Ovis aries: one gene and its partners. The protein of the gene in region 1 interacts with the protein of each later gene in a pairwise test. Links are inferred from orthologs where the notes say so. Each region holds a gene or a part of one and is shown in the gene's direction. Other genes may lie near its edges.

What was found. The genes of interacting proteins can lie anywhere in the genome.
Region 2: the proteins of TRIP10 (region 1) and ARHGAP17 interact in binary tests that used the Homo sapiens proteins (3 or more experiments, as listed by UniProt). The link is inferred for Ovis aries from reciprocal best matches to the Homo sapiens genes TRIP10 and ARHGAP17.
Region 3: the proteins of TRIP10 (region 1) and ARHGAP12 interact in binary tests that used the Homo sapiens proteins (3 or more experiments, as listed by UniProt). The two-hybrid records come from large-scale screens. The link is inferred for Ovis aries from reciprocal best matches to the Homo sapiens genes TRIP10 and ARHGAP12.

Annotation. Positions count from the first base shown.
Region 1 is NC_056058.1:15,496,895-15,503,079, reverse strand, and holds the start of TRIP10 (cdc42-interacting protein 4), read left to right. Parts: upstream 1-2,086; 5' UTR 2,087-2,165; coding exon 2,166-2,189; exon of another isoform or gene 2,190-2,391; intron 2,392-2,776; exon of another isoform or gene 2,777-2,888; intron 2,889-3,355; coding exon 3,356-3,471; intron 3,472-3,555; coding exon 3,556-3,612; intron 3,613-4,473; coding exon 4,474-4,621; intron 4,622-4,698; coding exon 4,699-4,761; intron 4,762-4,972; coding exon 4,973-5,077; intron 5,078-5,167; coding exon 5,168-5,296; intron 5,297-6,072; coding exon 6,073-6,185. UniProt on the Homo sapiens protein: Required for translocation of GLUT4 to the plasma membrane in response to insulin signaling. Required to coordinate membrane tubulation with reorganization of the actin cytoskeleton during endocytosis.
Region 2 is NC_056077.1:23,204,105-23,210,190, reverse strand, and holds the start of ARHGAP17 (rho GTPase-activating protein 17), read left to right. Parts: upstream 1-1,977; 5' UTR 1,978-2,113; coding exon 2,114-2,166; intron 2,167-6,086. Other genes in the region: thyroid receptor-interacting protein 11-like, read right to left, coding at 1-868. UniProt on the Homo sapiens protein: Rho GTPase-activating protein involved in the maintenance of tight junction by regulating the activity of CDC42, thereby playing a central role in apical polarity of epithelial cells.
Region 3 is NC_056066.1:32,794,215-32,800,242, forward strand, and holds the start of ARHGAP12 (rho GTPase-activating protein 12), read left to right. Parts: upstream 1-1,919; 5' UTR 1,920-2,064; exon of another isoform or gene 2,065-2,069; intron 2,070-2,433; exon of another isoform or gene 2,434-6,028. UniProt on the Homo sapiens protein: GTPase activator for the Rho-type GTPases by converting them to an inactive GDP-bound state.

The DNA of each region.
Region 1 (6,185 bases):
GTTGATAAACAGTTCATCCAACCAATTGTGATGGAGCCGATATCCTTCCCTGAAGAGGAGTTCCTCCACCCACTCTTAACTGACAGATCCGTTCAGAACTACATTACCCAGAACGCAAAGTTGGAGGGGGTGGGGCAGCAAACAACTCAATGGGGGCATACAATAAACTACATCTCCCAGTATCCCTAAAGACAGACTTCCCTCTTTCCCCCTGGGGATGTGGCTCCCAGCCAAAGCTCAGGCTTTTGGTAAACACTTGCATTTGCTGAAGCCGCCTGTCTTGTTTTCCTAATCTTGCTGATCCACTGAGAGGCCAAAACCTGGCCCCAAGCTAAATCATGACCCTGGAATGACCTATGATCCCAGACTGAGTTACCAGGCTTAGGCGGACGCTTCTATCCTGGAGTGAGGCCACTGGATGGAGTCCCATCCCCAGAACCCAGGACAATCTTGATTCAGGCTGAACCGCAACACCAGGCTGAGCGCCTACCTGCAGCTAAGTCCTGATCTCAGCTGAAACGCAGCTCTCCCTTCCCCTTTTACTCTCAGCCTATACTGAGCCTTAATCTCTGGCTGAGTTTACACCTAGACAGATCTCAGATAAAGACTGAGCCCTGACCTCAGATTAAGACAGACCTGTGGTCCTTCATTTGAGTCCCAGGCCTTCGACTAGTGGCTCACCCCTCTCCTAAACCTCCGATCCTAGTCAGGTTCCATCCCAGTTGTGGTGCCCACCTGGGATGAATCCCAATTTCAGTTGAGACTCCAACTCCCAGGCTGAGCCGCTGAGTTCCAGACCCCAGGCTGAGTTTCTGGCTTGATCTGACCCTCTAACCTCTGGCATGCATGCTCAGTAACTCAGTAATGTCCGACTCTTTGTGACCCTATGTACTGTAGCCTGCCAGGCTCCCCTGTCCATGGGATTTCCCAGGCAAGAGTACTGGAGTGGGTTGCCGTTTCCGTCTCTGTTTAACCTCTGGAACCCGTCTATTTTGCAATTTGAAGTTTTCTAACTCGGAAGCCACCAGCAGGTGGGGCCAGGTCCCCGCAGAGCCGTCTATCCCATTGTGGGTTACTGGAGCTATCTATCCTCCTAGCCGTGTTGTGACTTCTTGTGTCCTGGAAGACGGGGCTCAGAGTCTGACTTGTCCCAGGGGGTCTAATGCCCTCAGCCCCAGCGGGGCGACTGTCACCTCTGTAACCAAAGAGAAAGCACCAAAGGCAGGAGAGGATGGGAGTGGGGGGAGGTTGCTGCTTGGATCTCGCCCCTTTCATCTCAGTGCCTCAAAGGGATTAACAGTGTGTGAACTGACTTTTATGAGAGAGGTGACAGACTTCCAAGCCCAAGGGTTCGAGGAGCGGGGGAGTGGTGGAGTAGGAATACTAGGGTCTGTGCAAACTATTAAACCTGATTGCACCTTAATGGATGAGACTGGGAAATGGGCAGGTGCAAGCTCCAACTGTACGGGAGCTGAGGAAAGGCCTGGGCCTGGCGCCCCAAGGACAGCCCGTCCTCAGTTTCCCGGCGCAGACTTTAGGGAGGGAGGCAGGATGCGGTAGGGGCGCTAATGGACCCGGCCTTGGCGGAGGCGCGTCCTGGACAGGATCGAAGTCCTCCCATCCGCCCTGTGGCCGGAGGGACCAGACCATTAGTGGGACGAACGTAGACGTCTGGAGCCAGGCCGGCCCTCAAGAGCGGGGTGACCTCAGTTCTCCCTGCGGCAGAGTGGGGGGAAAACCTCTTGGGTTGGGGTTTAGTGTCTTGGCCCTTTAATGAATGATTGAAAGGAAAGAGGAAAAGAAAAACTGTCCAGGGCGGGGCAGGAATGGGGTGGACAAAAGGGTCCCAGGGGATTTGGAAAATGGATGGGGGTCCTTTAAGGGGTCTGTCTGTCCAGTGGCGTCGGGTGGCGCGCATTCCTTTAAGAAGGGGCGGGGCGTCCGTTGGGCCCCGCCTCCTTGGAGGGGGGGTCTTGCTTTCAGGGGGCCGTGCCAGGGCTCCAAGAGTGCGGGGGCGTGGCAGAGTGTACGGGGCGTGGCAGAGCTTGGAGTGGGCGGGGCCTTAGCGAGGCGGGGTCGGGCTCCTGGCCCTGGGCTGAGTCTCCCGGCGGCGGCGGGCGGCAGGGACCGGGTGCGGTGGAGGCGTCGGCCGCGGAGGGAGCAGCATGGATTGGGGCACCGAACTGTGGGTGAGTCCGTTCCGCTTGACTCCAAGTTCCTCCCTTCCTGGGGTCCAGACCCACGATTTGCCCCTGCAGTACCCCAGCGGGATCTCTGCGCGTTCCCTTCCACCGACCCCTGGAATCCCCTCTCTCCGCGGAGTTTCCCAGGGCGGTTCAGGACGCCCCGGAGCGGAGGGCGACCTTTAAGGAGCCGCGTAGGGAAACTGAGGTACGGGGTTCATAGTGAGGAGGGCAGAAGAAGTTCTGGGACCAGGCCTGAGCAGCCGGGAGAGGTCACCTATTTTGAGCGCCCTGACTGGGCCGGCGGCTTATCTTACGGCCCCTGGGTCCCTGCCCGCCGTCCGCCTGTCCGGCTGGGGCGGGGGAGGGGGCCCTCTGGCCACTTCCAACCCCACGTGGGACCTGGAAGTCCAAACCGCCCTCGCGTCGCCTCTAATCTACAATTAGGGAATTGGGACGCTGTAGGGGGGAGGGGGCTGCGAGCCTCGGCCTCAGCCCCCTCCCCCAGCTCTCCTTAGGCACTGGGAGGGGCCGCCACCAATCGCCTCGAACCTCTGCCCTGGAAGCCCCAGAATTTTTTCCCCCTTTCCTAGCCGGAACCTCTGACGCCTCCTCTTTCTGGGGGCGGTGGCACTCCTGGGTTCCTGGGTGCCCTGGGTTAACTAGATCGTCCCCCCTACACCAACTCTGGGATTTCTTTTGGAGGTAAAGTGGAGTCAGTGAGGAAAACTGAGTCGCCCCTGGGGGACCCTGGGAAGCCTGGCGACCGGGGGAACCTAATGCCCGCGCTCCGACCATTCTGGGGCCCCCACAAGCTGCAGGGAACCCTGCCCCTCTGGCCCTGACTCACGGCAGACCGGCCGGATTTTCCGGAATCTGGGGGGGATTAGGGGACCCGGGGCAGGGGGAGTGGCCTTGTCCCATTCCACACCCCTCCTGGAGCCGGGAGAGGGGACCCTGTAGTCCGGCTGGGGCCCCGCCCCAGTTCTCTGGCCCTTCCCGGGAAGGGGAGGGGGTTCCCGCCGGTTTCCTGCCTCCCCCCGCGCCGCTCCGGGGCGGGGCCGGGAAGCCACTCCTTCTTGGAGCTCGGAGCCAGGAGGCTCCCCTGCCGCTGGGTTGGCGGCTGTGGGGTCCCTGGGTCCTGACCTTGGTCCTCCCAATCCCCCTGCTAGGATCAGTTTGAGGTGCTCGAGCGGCACACGCAGTGGGGTCTGGACCTGTTGGACAGATACGTGAAGTTCGTGAAAGAGCGGACGGAGGTGGAGCAGGCTTATGCAAAGCAACTGCGGTGAGACCCTAGGGTGGCCGCTCCCTAGGGTTAGGGGGAGCGGTTGGAGGACTGGGGGCTCAGCCTTCCTGCCTCTCTCCGTAGGAGCCTGGTGAAAAAATACATGCCCAAAAGACCTGCTAAAGATGACCCTGAATCCAAGTAAGAACGAACACCGGATGGATACAGAGCTAGATTTGGGAGGGCCGAGGGTATGGGACCCACTTCCTCTCTCTCTCAAGCTGGGCTCCCCGCAAACAGATCCCTCACTTCTCACCCCAGTTCCACCTAGAGGCGTGAGCTTGGATGCAGGAACCGAATTACCTGGCTTGGAATTCTAAATCCACTACTTTCCAGCTGAACTGCTTTGGCCACTTGACTTCAGTTCTCAGCCTCCGTTTACCTCACCTATTAAATGGGAGAGGCTCCCACAGTTATTAAATGAGTGTCTCTGGGCAAGTGACTCATGTTGTGAGCCTTGGTTTTCCTCTCCTGTGAACTGGGGATGACGATGTCCTTGTAGGGGCTCATATGAAGATTAAGATAGTGTGTTAAAACAATGCCTGGCTCATTTCACTTTATTCCAGTTCCAGAAACCCCCAGAGCTCTAGAAAGCAAAAGATTTTTTGGTCGCTTGTTTGGAGGCAATCTCAAGACCTGAACTGACATGAAGTTAATTAAGTTCATTAGGGTCTTTTGGATTTTATCTCACTTATGTGAATACTAATACTTCTTGCAAAAGCATTTATAGTATTTGATTATATGATGCTGCTACTGACACCACGAGAGTCATGCAAAAAGATGGTATAAGCATCGCATCCCCTTTCTAAGACCTCCCCAAATTTTGAGAATTCTGAGTTTCTGTGTCCCCCTCGAGGGTTGAGGGTGTGGGCCAGAATTTATTGTTGCTTCTGGGGTGAATGTCTTGGGGCTCACGCTTTTTCATATGGAGGTGGGTCTGGGGGCTTGTGGCTCCCAGGGGTCCTGACCCCCAGCCCTTATCCCCCCTCCACCCCACCCCAGGTTCAGCCAGCAACAGTCCTTCGTGCAGATTCTGCAGGAGGTGAATGATTTTGCCGGCCAGCGGGAGCTGGTGGCCGAGAACCTCAGCGTGCGTGTATGTCTGGAGCTGGCCAAGTACTCGCAGGAGATGAAACAGGAGAGAAAGATGGTGGGTGACCCCTTCTCTGGGGCTTCCCGAGGGTCCCCTGACATCAGGGTGAGCCTTATCGCCCCCTCTTCCCACAGCACTTCCAAGAAGGTCGTCGGGCCCAGCAGCAGCTGGAAAGTGGCTTCAAGCAGCTGGAGAATGTGAGTCTGTGGGTGTGGAGAAGCGAGGCTCTGGCCCCGAGCAGCTGGGTGAGGGTTGTCGATTCACTTCATCTGGCCTGGACCCCTCCTCTCCTGTGGGTTTCCAAGCTGCCTGTTGTCCCCACCCTGACTCCCAGTTGCTGGTGACTTCCCCCCAGTCCCTGAAACTGTGGCGGGTGGTTCCTTCATTCCGGTTCTGTCCCCAACACAGAGTAAACGTAAATTTGAACGGGACTGCCGGGAGGCTGAGAAGGCAGCCCAGACTGCTGAGAGGCTTGACCAGGATATCAACGCCACCAAGGCTGATGTGGAGAAGGTGCCTATAGGGTCTGAGACAGGCTTGGGGGTCAGGGTTCGGCAAGGCCAGAACTGGGCTATGACCCTCCCCTACCTCGATATTCCTCAGGCCAAACAACAAGCCCACCTTCGGAGTCACATGGCAGAAGAAAGCAAAAATGAGTATGCAGCCCAACTACAGCGCTTCAACCGTGACCAGTCTCACTTCTATTTTTCCCAGATGCCCCAGATATTTGATGTGAGTGCTGCAAACCCCAGTCCCACCTTCCCTAGAGAAGCCCAGAGTTAACCAACTCCTACACATTTGTCAAAACCCCACCTGTAATGCCCTAATCTCTAAATTGAAAAGGAGTTAGAACCAAATAGTCAGTGTTCTCCAATTTTATTCAAGCTGTTCTTTCTGCCAAGGATGTCGTTCTTTCCTTTTGTAATTCCTACGTTCTTCCAAGCCCCAATTGTAACAAACCCTCTGAAAGATCTCAAATTTCTCTTCTCCTGTTTCAGCTCTGTACTCTACTCTCTATCCCAACACTGAGACTGGCAGTATCTGTGTTGGGTCTGCTTTTTTCTTGAAATTCCTGGCTGTGTTTTTTTCTTAGTATATTTAAAAAATTAATTAATTAGGCTGCACCTTGTCTTAGCTGTAGCATGTGGGATCTAGTTACCTGACCAAGGATTGAACCTGGACCCCTTGCATTGGGAGTGCAGTGCCTTAGCCATTGGACTACCGGGGAAGTCCCTTCCTGGTCACATTTTCACCTCCTTTGAGAAGCCTTTCCTGACTCCCTAGGCAAAGGGAGGGCCTCAGATTCCTCTCTGACATCTCTCTGGCCTCTGAAATTTCTCCCCTGACCACACTGAGCTAGAAGTCTCTGTGTTCAATTCTGTGTTTTCCCTGCTAAACTGGGCTTGGGGCTGTGGTCAGTGTGGGGCTCCATTATGCTCAGGAGGGAATCACTCTGCCACCAGCCCCTCGATCAATGCCCTTGAGAACTGTGCCCCCTGTCTCTACAGAAGCTGCAGGACATGGATGAGCGGCGGGCCACCCACCTGGGGGCTGGTTACGGGCTCCTGTCAGAGACTGAGCTGGAGGTGGTACCCATCATCGCCAAGTGTTTGGAGGGCAT
Region 2 (6,086 bases), on another chromosome or scaffold:
TCTCAAGTCCTTTGGTTTTCTTGGTAGATGCTACTTTTTCAGTGGCTAGGACTTGAATGGCTTTTTGCATATCATGAATCATCTCCTCGTAATCCTTTAATTGTTTTCGATGCCTGCCACTTATTTCTGCCAGTTTCTGCTGATGAATTTCCTGCAGTACTGCCATTTCAAGTTGATGGTCATCAATTTCCTTATTTCGAGTCTGTTCAAGTTCCTTGATAGTATTTTGCAGTTTATAGATTTCCTTTAGATTAGAACTATCTGCTCCATGTGCTGTAGAAGTTTGAGCACAATGTCTCCAATGGCTGACATCAGCCTCAAGTCTTAAAACTTCATTTGACAATCTATTTATTTCTTGTTGTGACCAAATTAGATCAGCGAAGTCCATATCATCATTCTGGAAAGCTAAAGCATGCTGATAGACATCATAACCCAGTGAAGAGGGTGCAGGAGTTGAGGGCTGAAAGCTATCCTGAAGATTTACTGAGTGGATGACTGACTGCAGCTTTAGCAACTGATCCTTCATTGCTACCTGTCTTGCTGTCAGAAGTCTGATTTCTACGTCTTTCTGGTGTAACTGATGTCTGTAGCTAGCAGTTTGCTGCTTCAGCTGAAGCTCTGAGGCTTCATACTTCTCTTCTAGATCGCTACAAAGAATTCGAAGCCTCTCAATCTCTGATTTTAAGACTGATTGAAAGTCGACAACCTCCTCTCTTGCAGAGTCAGGGAGTTCTTCTACCTTTTCAGCTCCCTTCCTCAGCACATCTTTTGTGAAACTAGAAACACAGTCTGTTAAAAAGGCCATAGTACCACCCACTTGCCCCAGGGAATGGCCTAAGCTGGAGCCAAGGCCACCAAACCAGGACATTGTCACAGGTCGTAAAACTGACCTGATCTGTCCTGCGAAAAGGATCCAGCGGAGTCGGACAGCCTCACTGCTGACCAGCTCGAGGTTAAGAAAAAAATGAGGAGTTTCTAGGCAACGTGGGCTGAGAAGGCCCCTCTATAGAACCCTCGGAGCCCCAGGCATGGCCTGTGACCTGACAAAGAACCTATCTCCTGTGACGTGTCCCCGCTCGGGCGTCTGCTCATCCTCACAACTTCCCAGCGCTAGGGTCGGGCACTTCTCTGCTTGCGTGATTTTCCCAGGGCCGGTAACACCCCGGTCCCCTGGACCGGAGACCATCACCGCAGCTCTGACGGCGCCATCGGTGAGCGCATGTTCATAGAAAGCACACCTGTCTTTTTCTCTTTTTCTCTTCTTTATGATATGGAGTGACATTCAAGGTAGATTTAAATCAATAAAAGAGAAGCAGCACTACAGTAATAGTATTCAAATAGGAATAAAATATATTTAATTGCCTCTGACTTTTTTACTAAATGGCATCTCATACACACAGTCCTGAAGCTTGTTTCACGCAACTATTTTTTTTTTTCTTGAAAAAAAAATCGAGGTAACATGTACATAGAGACACGCGTCCGTCTTAAGAATCCAAGTTGCTGTATTTTGACAAACGTCTACACCCGCGCATAAGCACGGCCCTGATAAAGACTTGGACCGTTTCCATCGTCCCAAAGCTCCTATCCCGTTTCCCTTCGCGCAACACTCCCCCCGCCCCCACCTCCGAGAGCCCTGCCCGGGGGTCTAGTCCCGAGGGTGACTTTTTGTGTCCGCTCTTTGTGTCTGCTTTGCCCACCGCGTGTTTGCGATCTAGTCTGGGAAGTGAGTTATATATTAATATTTAATATTAATATTCGCTGAGCGGAAGCACAAGCACGCCGAGGTCCGGGTGGACCGCGGGGCCCCGGGCGGCCGCGCGTCGCCGGGCCCAGGGAACCACCTGGAGGCGTGGGGACCACGCGGCCCCCGGGCAGGCGGGCGGCGGAGGCCTGGCCGCGCGCCGCCTGCGGCCTGGAGCTCCTCGCCCGCCCCGACCCGGCCGAGCCGGCGGGCGGCGCCGCTGGAAGTGACGCGGCGAGGGCGGGGCCGCAGGCCTGGGGAGCCGTGCCGCCGCCGCCGCGCCTCGGCCGGGAAGCGATGTAGGAGCCGCCAGGCCGTCCCCCGTCCTGCCCGGCCGGAGCCCCGCGGGCCGCCGCCGCCGCCGCCGCCGCCATGAAGAAGCAGTTCAACCGCATGAAGCAGCTGGCCAACCAGACCGTGGGCAGGCGAGTGCGCCGCGCCGGGCCGCCGGGGGTCGCGCGGGCCGGGGGTCGCGGTCGCGGGGGCGGACCGGCTTCTTCCGCGCGCCCCGCCGCTACGGGCCAGGCTGAGGCTCCGCCCGAGGCCGGCGGGGCCCAGGGTCGGGGTCTGCGCCACGCCGCGGCCTGGAGGCCCGCTCTGGGCCGCCGCCTGGCCCCCGGAGACCGGGCGGGCGGGCCGCGCCTCCCGCTCCTACCCCTCGGGTCCCCACTGCCCCGCGGAGCATCGCCCTCCTGGGACTGGAACTGCCCCTCGTCTTTCCCTACCCCGGGATCTGGCAGCCCCGGGCCGCCGCCTGGGGCTGCAACTCGGATCAGTGGTGTGTCCGAGGCTGCCGGGCTTGGGGGCTGCATTCCCAGCCTTTCCGAGTGGCCCCCCTGCTGCAAAACCTCACTTGCAAGTGTCTGGGGGCGGGGGATGGTGGGGGCGAGCAGTCAAGAAGCAAGGGTCATAAGCCCAGCGGATCTGCCTAGTGAGTTTCAGAACGCCCTTTGAGGGAGCTGCGAGGTGGTGCCGTCTCTAGACCAGAAGCGAATATGAACTGCACAGCTTACATTTAAAAAAGCTTGGGTGGGGGGTGGGGGTAATTAGGAGAAAAGGATTCTGGAAACGCCTAGCCCCAGTTTAAAAATAAGTATCATTTTAAAAGTCTTTCTCACTTTGGGTTTGGAAGCAGCTCCTGCTCCCTTGCTTCTTTGGGATTCCTTGACTGCTTGGCAAGCCTTGATTCTGAAATGACAGGAGAGAACAGAGTTAGTAGAGGATCCGGCCATTGGGACAGGACTGGTCTGTGGTCTTGAGAGCTTCTGAAGATGACTGTCATGTGCTGTGTTACCTGGGGCAGATTTTTCAAGGTCTATCCAGGGCAAGTTAGCTGTATGGTATCGGTTTTGCTGTTTATTCTGGGAAGAGAGATGAATGCGGGAATCTTTTTTCACCGCGTTGACTTCTTTTTTTTTCAGCAGTTGAGTCAAAGGGGGAGTTTGGTTTGGCCAAAGCACGTGGCACACTTCTTTTTTGCGTGTGTGTATGAAAATACTTTTACTTCCTCTTGAGTTTTCTAAATGTGCTCTTTACTGTTTCGTTTCCCTCAACTTTTTTGCTTAGTTTTGTTGTTTGGGTCTTTTTGGCTCCCCACCCTGTTAGCTTGGGGTGCATTTATCCTTTTTCCAGAGTTAATTCCTGTCTAGGCTAAAGCCTAGATGTGCCTTGTTTTCTGTTATTTGTGGGGAAATGATAGAAATAACGTGGAGAGGAAGGTTGACAATGTATTGTGGTGGTGGCGGTTGAGTCGCTATGTCGTGTCGGATTTGCGACGGTGGACTGTAGCCTGCCAGGCTCCTCTGTCCATGGGATTTCCCAGGCCGGAATACTGGAAAGTGAAGTGGCTCATTCGTGTCCAACTCTTTGCAACCCCATGGACTGTAGCCTACCACGCTTCTCCGTCCATGGGATTTTCCAGGCAAGGGTACTGGAGTGGGGTGCCATTTCCTTCTCTGGGGGAGTCTTCCATGTCTCCTGCATTGCAGGCAGTCTCCTGCATCACAGGTGAATTCTTCATGGCTAAGCTACCAGGAGAGAGTATTGGTGATGGCTCATGTTTCAGTCAAGAATCTGGGAATGAATTACAAGATAATTCTGTGAATTTTCTACCCCTCTTAGTGTTCTCAGGAACATGCATCAGGGAATCAATATTTAGTGAGTGTCAAGATGCATTTGTCCCAGAGTCATTTGGCCTGTTCATACATTGTATCAAGCAAGTGATTTTTTTTTTTTTAAACAAAGTTCTGAGGCTTTAAAAGCTGCAAAGTTGGTTCAGGGAAACTGTTCAGGGTGTCTTTGGCCCCTGCTTCCTCTGTCGCAGCTTCTCTTTTTATACTTTTAAATTCTAACCGTCTTGTCTACTTTCAGTTTTCAGTGGAGGCTATACTTTTCTTACGTATTAGCCTCTACTTGGAACTATCACAAAGAAATCTCTTTTACCACACCTGCCCTAGGTCACCTCCCACTTGTTCCTCAGGTCTCCTTGGAAAGGTCTCTGCCTCTAAAAGGCCTTCTCTGGGACAAAGTTTGGATGTCCCTCCTTGGCTCTTTCCTAATCCCATACAGCACCTGTTTCGCCATCATGTAATTGCTTCTTTACTTCATCACGCTAAACATTTAAGAATGTTTACCCTTTCTTCTTTGATTCCCAGGATCTTCTGTGGTTCCTATCACTTGGCAGATCCTCAATAAACATTGTCAAATGAATGTAAATCCAGTTCTCACTAGATTGTTCAAGTGGTATGGGAAAACGAGAACTGGATAGAATGAGTGGAGTGATGTGACTCACCCTAGGACTGTAATTCTGGCTCTGACCTTTGGCTCTGAAAATCTTTATTGCTTGATGCAGTGTAGGCTGCAGCTATACAGTAGTATTAAGGGTGTGGAAATTATGCACCTAAAGTCAAAACAGTTTTTACTGGGGAACCTGTTGCTTTACTGTTGTTGATTTCCTATATATGTTTGTCTCCCCCACCCCCGCCCCCAACTTAAGTAATTGTAAAGGACTAGGGAGGAAAGATGGAGGAGGCAGGAGAGAGCCTGAAATTGTTATTGGGCAGAAGCAGCTAGTTAGTGGATATCAGAACCAGGCTTCTGGATGTATTGGGGTCAAAACAAAGGCTAAAACACACACACTCACTAAAGAATGAAGTTGTATGTGTGAATGACTTGCCCACAGTGTGTACTGTCAGTTTGTAGTTCTAGGTGGTGTCATGCGATGAAATATTCTCTTTGCAGAATGAGGACCTTGTGAGTAACCCCATAGTGAGGTTCCATGGGACCGACATGTGGGAGAATTAGTAATGGCTGGAAGGAGTGAGTTCTCATGATGCAATTTGTTTGTAATGGATGGATGAGTCTGTTTCAGAAGGTGGTTCAAATGAGGTGGTCTCCTGAGGTGGGTGTCCCAAAGGAGACAATGAGGATGGTTCTTTTGTGCTCTCTGCCTTTTGTTCATTCATCTATTTAACAATTGTTGGGCCCAAACTGTGTGTGAGTATGTGAGGTATTGGAGTCTATTTCTGCCTCCCTGTTTCTGCCCTGAAGGAGCTCAATACTTTTGTGGAAGAGATAGGCAAGCAAAGAAATAATTGTTACCCTGAGATACGTGCTTTCAGAGGGCTGGCTAATGCTGGTTCTTATTGGATGGGGGAAGGTAACAGAAAACAGAAGAAAGCTTGGGCAAAGCCTTTTGGCTTTGTTTTCATCTTCAAGCACTTTCAGATTTCTTTTGTATTAATGAGGAGCCTGGTGGGCTGCAGTCCATGGCGTCGCTAGGAGTGGGACACAACTGAGCAACTTCACTTTCACTTTTCACTTTCATGCATTGGAGAAGGCAGTGGCAACCCACTCCTTCTTGCCTGGAGAATCTCAGGGACAGGGGAGTCTGGTGGGCTGCCGTCTCTGGGGTAGCACAGAGTCGGACACAACTGAAGCTACTTAGCAGCAGCAGCAGCCCTTGGTAGTATGAAAACCCATTTCAAGCTGCCATAAGTGAAGATGGGAATTAATTGGCTTATATGTGACCAAAAAATATCCAAAAGGAGTCTGGCTTCAGGCTGGGCTGGATCACTCTCCGGACAAGCTGGGTCCACAGAAAGACCCCTCCCCACCCCCACCCTCCATCGTCCTCAGTTCCAGTCCCAGAAGGATGGAAAAACCTTTCTCCCAGTCACTGTCTCCAAGGCCCACAATTGACTCCGTGCTTCTGACTGTGTCCCCTGCTTCTCCCTGGAAATGAGTGTGGAGTAAATGCCCATCTAAACCTTAGGGACTGAGAGTGGGGGAGCACTGGCTCCCCAAGGGAAACCGGGAAACAAGAAACATCATGTCAGGTCTTTCG
Region 3 (6,028 bases), on another chromosome or scaffold:
TGTGAAGCGTACATTTTGGAACTCTGTGCTACTTCTTAAGACACAAGTTAAATGTCAATATCCTGAAAATGATCTGTTGTGATCCTGGGCACAGGCACCAGACATATGCTACCAGTGTTATTTAAAACTGACTAGAGGCAATGTTGCATATGATTTCATAGCTTTCCATCAGGTCCTTTTAAACAACACACTTGGGCGAGAGCTCTTTTTATCTGACTCCATCTGCTGTTGGTAGTGATCAGCATACTGTGGGCATTGTGTTAGCATCTGAGACTAGGTTGTGAAATAGGAAGTGGAGTTATGTGCAGATCAGCAAGTGTGTGCAAACTGTTTAGTTCTATCCGAAGCTGAAACCACGGGTGTCCAACTCAGGCTTGGGAAACACGGAAGATAAGGTTATCAGCACATGCCCATCAGGGCACAGTTTCCCTTTTGCTGTCTGTCCCTGTTTTGGTTCTATAAAGAGATCCCAGAGGTTTTATGGAAAACAGTGTCAGAAGCATACACCAGCAGTACTCTTGTCTGCCGAACAAGGGCATGCAAAATGTTACTTGTTAGAAAGTGAGGGAGACAGAAAGGCCAAGTGATGCCAAGGAAAGTGGGTGTATCGTCCAGTGGATGGTCAGAGAAAGTATGGCCTCAGGCTTGTGCATGTTTTCTTTCTTTTTCCTTTCTTGGCTGTGCTGCAGGCATGTGGGATCTTAGTTCCCCGATCAGGGATTGCTGAGTCTTAACCACTGGACCTCCAGGAAATCCTTTTCTTCCTAAAAGAAGATCTTAAAACTTTAGCTCCCCCATTAAGATTTAATTTTATAATAAGTCAGTAACCTACAGTTGTTAAAGTCTTGCCAATATCCCATTGGGTTCTTTGCAGTCACTACAGGATAACTGGGAGTTCAGTTTGTGACGGGGAAATCAGACACAACAGCATCTTCAAGCATGATGTGAAGAACACAAAAGAGCCAGTTCCAGAGACTGGCTCTTGAATCATACCCTGACCTTTTTTCTTTTGCTTGTTTTATTGAAATTTCATCTCTGCGCCGTAACAGACACAATCAACCACTGGTTAGTAACGAATGTTTTCTGCAGTCCGAATACATAGCAGTGATTTTTCTGTCCTTGAATCATAGAAAGAGGCTTTGGGCTCGTCAACATGCTCCTTTCACAGCTGAGGTCGAGAAGGGCGAAGCGACAATGGCAGAAGCCAGGTCTCTCTCCCGATTCCCAGTTCCGCAGAACTCCCGCCACAGGCTCCCCAGAGAAAGCTGTTATGCCTCCAATTTTTGGATTCCGTGCTGTCATCCTGCAAGCTGGGGTGACTTTGGGCAATGACATCGTGGCCCCCACGGGGCTTGCACATGGCAGAAGCCGCCCTGGAGCCGCCCGCCCGCCCGCGGAGTGTGCGCGCTGTTTTCGCACTCTGCCGGGTGGTCTCGGCGAAGGTCCGGGACCGGGTTGTGGACCAGGGTCTCCAGGGTTCCCTTCCGTCAGGTGAGGTCGCGAGGGGACTTTCTCCGATTTCTGGGTCCGGAAAGGCTGACCCTCGCCAGGCTGCGCTCCTACCCGGACGAGAAAGGGGACAGCCGGGCCCACGCCCCCTTCTCCCCTGGGCCCCACTCCTGCCACCCCAGGACTCGGGCCGTTTTCCTTCCGCCCTTCCCTCGTTTTCCCCACCGGCCTCTCCTCAACTTTCCCCACTTGGCGTTTAAAAGCTCCACCGCCCCCCTCCCTCGGCGAGCAGCTCGGGCGCCCGGGCGATCCTCGGCCCCTCCCCCCGCCTCTCCCCTCCTCCTCCCGGATCCACGCCGCCCGCTCCCCCGGCGCCCGCCTGGCGGTCACGTGCGCCGCGCCCCGCCCCGTCACGTGGCCCCGCCCCGCCCCGCCCCCGCGCCGGCGCGCTCCGACGTGCCCTGGAACTCACCCGCCCCGGGAGAGCCGCCTGCGGGGACGCGCCGGCCGCGGCCGCCGCTGAGTGAGCGCCCTTCAGGTTCGTCTGGGCGCCCCGCCGCCGCCGAGCCGGGCCAGGAGGGAGCCGCCCCACCCCGCGAAGCCGCCGGGCCCTCGGTGAGGTTGGTAGGGAGAGTGAGCCCGGGCGGAGGGCAGGTCGGGGCGGCGCTGCACAAAGGCGCCCGGGGCCGGGGCTGCGGGGCCGGAGGAGGCGTGTGCGGGCGCGCGGCGACGCCGGGGTGCGCGAGGTGCGGCCGGGGGCGCGGCCGGCGGGGTCCAGGCGCCGGGCCGCTGCCGGCCGCTCGGGCGACGTGGGCGACGGGGTTTTAAATGGCTGGAAGTTGCGGCTCCTCTGCCCCCCGGGTTTCCTGACTTCCTGTGAGAGGGCAGTGCCCGCCGCCCCGCCCCCAGGAAGGAGGGTGGCGGGCTGTGCGTGTGCGTGTGCGTGTGTGTGTGTGTGTGTAAAAGGCTGGCGGTGCCGCCCTCCTTTCTGGCCTCCCGCCGGCGGCGAGCCCGCTCCTCAACTGCTGCGGGAGGTGCAACCCCCGCCCGCCCAGCAGCCCCAGGAGCCGACTTGGGGCTGCTCGAAGGCTATTGATCCCCCAGACTGGGCATGGGGGCTTCTGCAGCTTCTAGAGGTGCCCCGCCCCTGCTCAGTGGGCATCTGCTTCTTTCTAGCCCTTCTGCGAGAATTCTCCTCCACCGTTTTTAATTTCAGAAAACCCTCTGCGCTCTTCTCGGGGGTGTGTGTGTGTGTATGTGTGTATTGTCTTCTAAGGATGACTGTCCTTGACGTGTGGCGTCTGAAGTTACCGCAGACCCTTTGACACGAAAAGGCCACAGGGTCATTCTCGAGGCGTGGTGATGTTTTCCTTCTGACGGCAGCCGCCGTTTTCCAGGCACTTGCGAAGGCGAGCATGTTCAAAGCGTGGCTGTATGAAAGTTCTGATGTGTCTCCAAGTGAAGTATTTGTTGTCGGGACAGGCTGGTAACATTCGTGTTGCTTTATGGTTAATTAAGACATGGGAGGTAATTAAAAAAAAGATTTGTTTACGTTATTTTGAGCAGTGCTGTGTCTTCATTTGCTGTGCGCAGGCGTTCTCTAGTTGCGGGAAGCAGGGGCAACCGTTCGTTGTGGTGAGTGGTCTTCTCATTGCTGTGGCTTCTCTTGTGTCCTCTGGGCCCTAGAGTGCGGGCTTCAGTAGTTGGGGCAGGTAGTTGTGTCTCAAGGGCTTAGCTGCTCCGCGGCCTGTAGGATCTTCTGGGACCAGATATCGAACCCGTGTCACCTGCATTGCAAGGCGGATTCTTATCCACCAGACCGCCAGAGAAGCCCCGGTGGCAGATTTTTTTGAACATTTAGGCATGTGTTCCTAACGGGAGGTGAATACGGGGAGGAAGGAGGGAACTTTGAATGAAGAGTCCACCCGGATTCTGATTAAAATTCTCCCTCTCAGCTTCTGAAGGTGAGACCTTGGAAGACTCTGAATGTTACAGTGAAGGGTGGCTCAAAAACGTCCAGCTCCTGGCCGCGGCTCTTTCATACCCAGATGCTGGGAAACGGTGGCCTGGAGGTGGATCTATAGCCAGTGCTCCTTACCTGATCCGCAGGAGGGTGCCTGACAGGGCAGGATGTCTTTTGTGTTATCTTTTGGTCGGAGTAGATGGTCTGGCTGCTGGGGCCAGTGTTTCTCTCTTTCTCTCTGTTTTAAAAAATGCCTTGGAAATGTTTCTGAGCAGAGTTTGGCTTGAACCAGTCTCTAAAGACTTGACCCTGAGTGGGGCAACTGGAAGAACCTGAGGAGCTGGGCATGTCGGCGTGACTCCTGGTTTCAGGAAGCTCTGCTGGTCTGGAAAGGGACTCTTTTGGGGAAAAATGAGTTGAATGAAGCCTGATGTACCATATTGCATGTGCATGCCCCAGTATGGGGTGGTAGGCTTCTGTTCCTACTTTATGGAGGACAGAAGTTGGAGAAGATTGCTAACGCACTGATTCTTAATGTGATGCCATCTGTATAGAGGGGTTGTCCACATACAGTCAGTATTTTATGTATCTTTAGTTTTTTTCTTTTTTTTTTACATACTACACTAGTTGTTGTGAGGCACAAGTGAGAATATATAAATACTGCAGAAAAACTGTATTATTTGTAGTCAATCATTTGGCGGTTCTTTCATTAATAAGAAAGTATCTGCTGAGTGCTTTTTTTTATTAGGTTGACAGAAAATGTGTTTTACGAATGTAAAGTACTTCAAATGATGCAGTCGACAATTCTGAGGATAAAAAAGGTAACAAACAGTATAAGTTAATTAAGACAGTGACTCTGATGCTGTGTAAAATTACTAAATGGTAGCTTCCTTGATGGCACCCCACTCCAGCACTCTTGCCTGGAAAATCCCATGGATGGAGGAGCCTGGTGGGCTGCAGTCCAGGGGTCACTAGGAGTCGGACAGGACTGAGCGACTTCACTTTCAGTTTTCACTTCATGCACTGGAGAAGGAAATGGCAACCCACTCCAGTATTCTTGCCTAGAGAATCCCAGGGACGGGGAGCCTGGGTGGGCTGCTGTCTATGGAGTCGCACAGAGTCGGACACGACTGAAGCGACTTAGCAGCAGCAGCTTTTTTGATGGCTCAGCTAGTAAAGAGTCCGCCTGCAATGTGGGAGACCTGGGTTTGATCCCTGGGTTGGGAAGATCCCCTGGAGAAGGGAACGGCTACCCACTCCAGTATTCTGGCCTGGAGAATTCCATGGACTGTATAGACCAAAGGGTTGCAAAGAGTCAGACACGACTGATCGACTTTCACACTCACACACTCATTTTTGCTTCTATGAGAAAACTGGTGCTAGGAAAAAGCAGTTTAAGGTAAATCTGCCTAAAGTGGGCATTACAGTTTTATAGTAGTGAGAAAGAAGAGTGAAATTAAACTTTTATATAGAATAGTTTTAGTTGTACTTGCAAATATGCATTGTTTCGTTGAATGAATCAAAAGTGAAAAGGCAGGATGGTACCACACAGCATCATTGTGCTTCAGAATCATGCTCTTTTGAGGAACCAGTTGGGCCGCTACCTTTGTGGTTTCTTTAATTGCTAACTGTTCTAATTGTGCCACATCCTCGTTTTTGGATGGCTTTGCAGTGATTCAGCCATTTCCTTGTTTTATTGACTTAATATTTTGCAGTTTCAGTGTACAGTTGACCAGTTTTTTAATTGAACTGAACTATCAGATCATGACCTCTCTAAGCACCCCTTGCCTTGATAGTCCAGTGCTTCTCAAATTTTAGTGTACATGGACATCACCTGAACTTCTTAAACCCCATGTAATACCAGTGCTGCCAGGACTTCAGACTACTGCTGTCGTGTGGAAATGTGATGCCAGTCACCTTGGTAATTCTCAAGTAATTTTTAGTACTCACATGATAACTGAGAAAGAGTCAAAGAAGCCGTGAGGTAAATCTTATTATCATTTTGTCTGTATGACAGCTTCAGACTCCCATGTGGGTTTTACACGTATAGCACGCCTCAGTTTAGGTTAGCCACAAGTTACATGCTCAGTAGGCGCATTTCTTAGCAGTGGCTGCTGTGTTGAACAGTGGTGGTTCTGGAGTCTGCAATCACTGCTGTTCTAAGTGAGCTTTCAGATTGGCTGCATCAGCAACCCTTGGGGACTTGTTAGAAATGCACATTTTTGGGCCCCACCTCAAACCTACTCTCATTGGAATATCTGGGATTTCATTAATCTACAGCATATGACTACAGAATGCGTATGTGGTGTTTTGGATATGATCGTAGAACAGGAAAAGTTCATTAGGGGAAAATTAAGGAATATGGTCATTATTGTCAGTATTGGTTCATGGAGTGTGATGAATATACTGTACTAACGTAAGATGTTTGTAGTCAGGGGAACAGTGTACAGGGTATATGGGAACTCTGTACTATCTTTGCAATAAATCTGTGAATCTAAAACTCGTCTAAAAGAACGTGTTTTTATTTTTATTTTTTGCCACACTGTGGCATGTGGGATCTTAGTTCCCAGACCTGGTGTTGAACCAGTGTCCCCTGCAGTGGATGCTCAGAGTCTT